Linked DNA regions of Oryzias latipes. The protein of the gene in region 2 interacts with the protein of the main gene of each other region in a biochemical or structural test. Links are inferred from orthologs where the notes say so. Each region holds a gene or a part of one and is shown on either strand. Other genes may lie near its edges.

Evidence for each region. The genes of interacting proteins can lie anywhere in the genome.
Region 1: the proteins of pink1 (region 2) and bag2 form a complex in vitro, tested with the Homo sapiens proteins (2 studies listed by BioGRID). The link is inferred for Oryzias latipes from reciprocal best matches to the Homo sapiens genes PINK1 and BAG2.

The regions. Positions count from the first base shown.
Region 1 is NC_019873.2:24,430,334-24,434,766, reverse strand, and holds bag2 (BAG family molecular chaperone regulator 2), read right to left. Parts: upstream 2,850-4,433; 5' UTR 2,696-2,849; coding exon 2,574-2,695; intron 2,432-2,573; coding exon 2,322-2,431; intron 1,141-2,321; coding exon 746-1,140; 3' UTR 152-745; downstream 1-151. Other genes in the region: E3 SUMO-protein ligase ZNF451, read right to left, coding at 4,070-4,110. UniProt on the Homo sapiens protein: Co-chaperone for HSP70 and HSC70 chaperone proteins. Acts as a nucleotide-exchange factor (NEF) promoting the release of ADP from the HSP70 and HSC70 proteins thereby triggering client/substrate protein release.
Region 2 is NC_019865.2:23,696,176-23,699,091, forward strand, and holds the end of pink1 (serine/threonine-protein kinase PINK1, mitochondrial), read left to right. Parts: coding exon 1-82; intron 83-177; coding exon 178-305; intron 306-966; coding exon 967-1,197; intron 1,198-1,324; coding exon 1,325-1,609; 3' UTR 1,610-2,313; downstream 2,314-2,916. UniProt on the Homo sapiens protein: Serine/threonine-protein kinase which acts as a sensor of mitochondrial damage and protects against mitochondrial dysfunction during cellular stress.

The DNA.
Region 1 (4,433 bases), on a different chromosome or scaffold from region 2:
ATGGTGAAACAACTTTTAATATTTTCTCCCAATTGTAAGCATTGACTTGTGCAATTTTATGAACTGTACATGTGCTTTTAGGTTCTTATCAAACCAAATGACAAAATAAAGGAGGATTCCCCATTTGTGAAAACAAGAAACTGCATATTCAGAGGCTTCTCACAGTTTTTATTGACTTTCTTTCTTTGTGTTTCATAAAAATGTAACAAAAAAAAAAACAGCAGAAGATGAAGGCGTACAGAGTTTGTGTCAAAAATCCTTTCAACTAAAACTGTAAGACAAATAAAAAGTCTTTCTACAACTGAGATAAATTCCACGAACTTCCTGTCAGGTGGTTTCATTTGACATGTTTGTAATTTTATTTTCAACGTTAACGATCACAGTATTGGTAAAATACTGGTTGTTGCATTGTCAATCACCTCATATGTCAGAGCACTGAATTGCTGCAAAATGTGCTCAAAATTATATATTGTCTTCAAAAGGTTGAACTTCAATCTGTGATGCATCTGTATTTGTTCTTTCTTGGGCTTATTGATGAACATACATTGTGAACTGTGTGCCCTTTAGCTATGTCGGTGTAGTAAAATTTAAAGTAAAAATTGACCTTTTTACAAAAAAAATGTGTACCAGTGTACTTTTCAGGGTTGGTTACAATGCATGGATCCCTAAGAGTCATGCTTGTGCAGCTCTCCTTTGTGAGGTAAAGTGGAATTCAAAAACACCCTTCATGCTTTGGTGATGATTATTAACTACTGCAGTTGGTTTTTGCACTCTCCAGTTTTTGATGATCCATAATTTTGATGTTCTTTTCAGCGTTTTCCACATTCCTCACCAGCGTCTCCAGCCTCTGTTTGATCTTCTTCTGGTCCTCCAAAGAGCAGCTGATCACCACAACCTGGAACTTCTGATCGATGGGGACAGGCGGTGCTTCGGTCACGCAGGCGGCGTGCAGCGCCATCAGCTGCTGCCGACCGCCTTCCATGTCGACCAGCAACTTTTTTACGATTTCGTCAATCATGGATGTGGCTTTCCGCAGGGCCTCCTCCTGCTGGGGGTTTCTAATGGTGCCAACGGAGATCTCCACCGTCAGAGTCCGGCCCATCAGACGGTTCGCAGTTAAGCTCAACTCTTCCCTTTCTCCTGCAGAAGAAAAGGAAATTAGAGCTTTAATTTGTCATAAAAAATATTATTATTAACCTGTTTTTGACTCATTTCATTTATTTTGATGTATTTTATGTTAATAAATCGTCTTTTGATCTATTTCCAAAGTGTTCCGAGTGGTTTTGTAATTATAGTTATACCATTTTTAGCCCAAATAAAAAAATCCTGTGTCATTTTCTAGGACATAATTTCTGCAGAGCGGCAGGAATTCATTAGAAATCTGCCTCTAAGTTGTAGGTGGGGCCGTAGGCGTGGAGTAAGCCCACCCTTGCTTCCGGACATCTATGTGTTTAAACGCTCTCCTGCAAATTTACAGCCCTTTATAACCCCAACGTAACATTACTGATGCAACTCAAATGGCCTGCAAGAATGGAGATATCCATCCGTCCAGCTTTGAGCCGGAAGCCAACTCGGATGAGGAAAACAAAAGACCTACATGGATCTATTTGTCCGCAAGTGGATGCATCAGAATGGAGCAGAGAAGAGCAGGACGTTTGTGGTCTGCTGTATTAGCTTCTACGTCAAACCTACAAGCTTTTTCAAATGGCATTTTTGCTTTTGCAATTTGAATAAAGAAATACACCGAAATGGAAATATGAGCTGAATTTTCTTTCTATATGTCCTGCATTTTGAGAAAAACACCACAACAACATGTTAAAAACACCAAAAACACAATTTTCCTGAGTGGGTCTTTAAGATTTGATATAGGGGCAGAAATATAACAAGAATTTCATTTTTTTTGTTCCTTTCTATTCATGAAAATGTGTGGACTTATGTTGAATATGTAAATATAATATGGTACCATGAAAAGAACAGAATTTTTCTTTCTACTTATACCATGAAAAAAAGTTTATATCTTGTAGTAAACTTGCTATGTTGGACTCAGAAGTATAGTGTGTTCCTTTTAGAGGGTTTAATAGAAAGACACAGAGGTGAAATGGGACCTCTATGGGTGAGACATGTGATGCATTTTGGGTGGAGCACATTGTTCTTTTCAGTTTCTTGACCATCACGCAAAGTTTTCCTTTTATCACCACAGGATCAAAGTAGCAAAAAACAGGAATTAAGATTACTGGAAAGTTAAGCCACTCTTCACTGGTATTAAGCAGCGGATGACTTGTGCTCTTATGTAAGTTGTGGGAGAGAATTAGCAGCCTCACCCGCACAGATGTTACGCATTTCTTGACTGTTCTGGATGGATTGAATCATTTCCAGGATGCCTTCTCTTTCCTGCTCCAGGGCGGATGCTGTTTCTCTTAAAGCCTCCACCCTGACAAAAACAAACATCCGTCAAAAAAAAACAGCTTTTCTTTTTCCTTCCAATCACGTTCAGTTGTTAAAGTTACGCCACAGTGTCAAACGAACGAGAGCACCTCCAAAGAAGACGCGCATGGCGAGGCCCGTTATTGTACCTGATTTCCAGCTGATCCAGAGTTTCCAGCAGTCTTCCGGAGCGATCAGCCATGGACAGTGTCCTGCTGAACTTGCTGCAGACCGCTTCGTTCATCTTCGCCTGGATTTTCGCCTGAGCCATAATAATTAGTGCTGCAGTGCCGAGTTTCTGTAGTCCGATCAGTCAATCCAAAGAGTGAGCGGCGCTTTAAGCTCTCCGCCTGACCAGTAATTCCTCAGGCTACAGGCAGCAGCGCCCCTGGGACAACATTTCCTAACATGGGCTTCAGCTTCCTCCTCTTCCTCCTCCTCACAGAAACTTCCCGAGGAACCCAGAGAGGAGGCTCCAACCCAGACAGGGGGCTCCAACAGGGGGCTCTGAGTGAGGAGCGCTTTAGCTTTAAAATGCTTTATTTGAATTTCCATAAAACAACAGATTTTATTTTACACAAGATTTTATATCTGGGAGATAAAAGGGAACAGGGGGAGAGAAAGCTTATTTTTTCTGGAACTTTTATATAATTAGGAGGCAAAAAAACAATTGTCATAAATTGATTAGAAAATAAAAATAAACTAAAAGACGAATACATCAAGTAAATATAAAATAATAGTATTGTCCAATAACTGTTTTCTGCATGATTTGAATAATATTTTTGCAGAGTTCATACAGGTTTGTTAAACATGACATTTGCAACTCTCATCAATTTGTACAAGTGGCACTTTTTCATCATTTTAGTTAAAAGAAAAAAGCAAAGACACAATGTAACAAAACCACCTTTAGGGGGCGCTGATGAGGTGACAGGTGCTTGTTACCATTATCTCTATTGCTTCAAGCCACAAAGATAGATTCCATCTATTTTACCAACCAACAGGTCTCCAAACTGTTTTTTTTTTCTGTTCTCCGAACAAAATAATCAAATGTAACATTCAATGACCAAACGTCATGCTCCGTTATTATATCTTTATTAAAGAAAAATATTTTCACAGAGAGTACTTTTTAGGAAAACCGTTCTGTCCCTGTTATTCACTCACACTTTTACACAAAAAACCTTTTTCTTTAAGTTGAACTCATGTAATGATGTTTCATACAAACTTTTCTGTAGAAAAAATACAATTTCTGCTCATTCATTTCTGACGTCTGAGCAGCCGGTAAAGAGAATCCTCACGTCTGTAGTGAAACCAGAGAGGTGGAGGAGCGGTTGGTCTGCGGTCACGAGGTCAGCCCAGGCATCTAGCTGTGTCACCACAATCCTGTGTGTGTGTGTGTGTGTGTGTGTGTGAACACGTGACACATAGCTTCAATGTTTAGAACGTCTGACTTTTTATAAACCCTCAGCTTCTAACTAGCTTTAAAACCCACTGTCTGCCCCAAGAACTGCTGACTTTGGCTGCTAAAGGAAGTAAATCAATTCAAATAATTCATGACTTTTATTTATAACTTCTGAAAACAATGACCTTGAGTAAAAAAGGTCAACGTGACAGGTGAACAACAGGAACTACTTCATTTAGAAAGCACTTAGAACTCCACAAGACTTCTCTGAAGAGCTTCCTCCAACTCTGCGGGAAAGAAAAACAAGAAAAAAAAAAAAGTTGAAAATGACACTCCATTATAAAACAACATAAAAACAGCAGAGGCCATTTTAAAGACCCACTCCGATCATCTTTGAAGCTATTTTCAAAGTGATCTTTTAATCCCGTTTATGCTGCTTTTAGTCAAAATACAAAAAAAGCCTGTGTTGTTTTTCTTAGGACATAGTTTCTGCAGAGCTGAATTGTGGGCGGGACCACTGGCACGGAGCAACTCCGCCCCCTTTCCCTTTCGGAGCGCTAGAAGCAGGGAGCTTGTGGGCCGCCCAGTGCAGTTTCAACAACACAAATAT
Region 2 (2,916 bases):
GAGGGTGTGGACCATCTGTGCAAGCAGGGCGTTGCTCACAGGGATCTCAAATCAGACAACGTGCTGCTGGAGTTTGACTCGGGTGAGCTCTAGAACCAGACTTTGATTGGAAAAACACCTTATTTAACATCAGCTGCTCCACGGATTTGTCTTATTTTTGTTTGTTTTTATGCACAGATGGTTGCCCCCGTTTAGTGATCACAGACTTCGGCTGCTGTCTGGCTGAAAGTGAGCAGAGTTTGCAGCTGCCCTTCAACAGCCAGTGGGTGGACAGAGGGGGGAATGCCTCTCTTATGGCCCCTGAGGTATAAATACTTTATTTTTGTTTTAAATAATCTTCATATGGTGGTTTTTATAAAGAAGACTAAAGGACTGGCTTACATATGAGCATGTCTTAATTGTCATGGATCCCAATGACTGAGTGATCATGACTTCTGTTTTTATTCAAATGCCAAGTGTTTACGACCACCTGATCATCAAAACAGAAGTGGTTTATTAAGAAAATGTCTCTGTCATAATCATAAAAACATGCATTATCCATGCGAAACACCATGACTTCCTGTTTGAAGCAGGTCCAAAAACAAAAGTATCTGCTGCCAGATCAGGTTATCAAGTGACCACTTCCTGGCTTGTTGTAATATGTCCATTTCCATTGATTTCAATGTAAGATGCCCCAACCAATGATTGACGTTAGTAAAACGTAATACATTTATTATAAAAATCATAAAATTGTGTATTTTAGCATCAAGTAAAAGAGATAAAGATGGCGTAAAAAAGAAAAAATTGAGTCCCCAACATATTTCCCTGTGGTACTCCATAAAACTAAAATACAAGAGATGTATTAATTGGCTGTGTCACAGTTCACTTAGCTGTTTGATCACTACTTTACTAATTTGGATAGACCGTTTGGTGTAGTGTCTGCAGGCTGCAGGGGCTCATCGTCTCTCTGTGCGTTTCTGGCATTAGGTGGCCTCTGCAGTCCCTGGGCGCAGAGTCGTGATCGACTACAGCAAGGCCGATGCGTGGGCTGTGGGCGCCATTTCCTACGAGATTTTTGGTGAACCAAATCCATTCTACCATGCTGTTGGACTGCATAGCATCAGCTACCAGGAGAAGCAGCTCCCTATCCTGCATTCCAGTGCCCCCGCTGATGTGCAGTTAGTGATTCGATTACTCCTCAGGAGGAGTCCTACAAAGGTAAAGCAAAGTTTTTTTCAAAATGGTTGAATTCATGTAATCATTATTGTTAATAATTACATAAATAGGAGCAGATATAGCGATAATCTAATAAATTCAATGTGTTTGTCTTATCTCTGCCGTGTAGCGCCCCAGTGCTCGTGTAGCAGCAAACATGCTGCACCTCACCCTTTGGGGTCAGAGGATTCTGGATAAACAGGGAAATGCTGGCATGAGAAAGCTGGCTGAGTGGTTACTGTGCCAGTCTGCTGTGGTTCTGCTGAAGGGCTGCAGTGGACCTGCTGGGAACAGGGTGGAGGCGGAGCTTCAGAGGAACTTCCTGAGGAACCTGGAGCTTGAGGAGCTGCGCACAGCGATGGGCTTCCTCATCTACGGACGAAACCAGCACACGGCCCGCATCCCGTCTGCTTAGATGTCTTTAATTTTGCAACCAGAGCTGAGCAGATATCTATGATAGTTTTTCTGCGGTTATATGTTCTCAGACACTTTATTAAAGTTGGGAGGTTGTATATGCTGCTTTTGAAGTTGAATAATCCTGACGTATTAAAGACGCTCCTGATGCTTCTCTGAAACTGCGTTTACACCGGGCATGTGATGCGCGTTCAAGACGCGTTTTTGAAGGCACATTTAGCAGGAAAAAAACTGTTTTCCCCCCACTGTTTACTGACATGTCCACCACCAACAGTTGGAAATGTCAAAGCGGTGCAAATCCATGCTTTATTCCGACATACAAAAGACCTGGTGTCGTATAATTTTGGCTATTTCAGCTCGACCTGGTTTAACTTTCAACACGGGTTTAATGGCCGTGCGTTTTGTATGTAGAGCTCAAAAATTGTCTTTAAAATGTACGTAGCGACACGTGAATGCAAAGGTTTTAAGCGCTAGCCTGAAATGCGCATTTACGCGTGTCTATGTAGACTTTTTATTGGAAGTGCTGCTTGAACGCGCATTGCAGAGGGCGGTGTGAACATGGCTTTAAAGTTTTCATGCACTCTGATACTGTTGCGCCGCTCGAGGTTGACTCGCCTGTGCCCTGGATCCCCTTCAATGTACTTTAAAAAACGTTGCACTATTTTTCTCTGCTGTGTAGTCATAAAGGTTCACATTTATTTATCAGCGTGTGTGTCAGGTTGCAGTCCCTGCATGTCTCCTGCATGTTTAATGATCGATGTGACTTTGTTCCTGTTTGCACTTTTTAACAGAAAAACTAACAAGATTGTCAGTTATTATGGAATCACTCAGTAAATTTCGAAAAATAACTGTTGATAATTTGAGATTAAAGCGGGTTTGTAACTCCCAGGAAGTTATTCTATAAAAAGAATGTATAATTTATCTTCTTTCTCTTTCGGCTTTTCCCATCAGGGGTCGCCACAGCGAATCATCCTTTTCCACCTCACTCTATCATGAACATCTTCTACCCTAACATTAGCCAACTTCATGTCCTCTGTTAAGACATCCATATATCTCCTCTTTGGCCGTCCTCTTGCCCTCCGGCCAGGCAGCTCCATCTCCAACATCCTTCTACCAATATATCCACTATCCCTCCTCTGAACATGTCCAAACCATCTCAGTCTGGCTTCTCTGACTTTGTCGCTAACACAGGCAACATGAGCCGTCCCTCTGATGTACTCGTTCCTTATCCTGTCTAACCTGGTCATTCCTAAGGAGAACCTCAACATCTTCATCTCCGCTACCTCCATCTCAGCCTCTTGTCTCTGT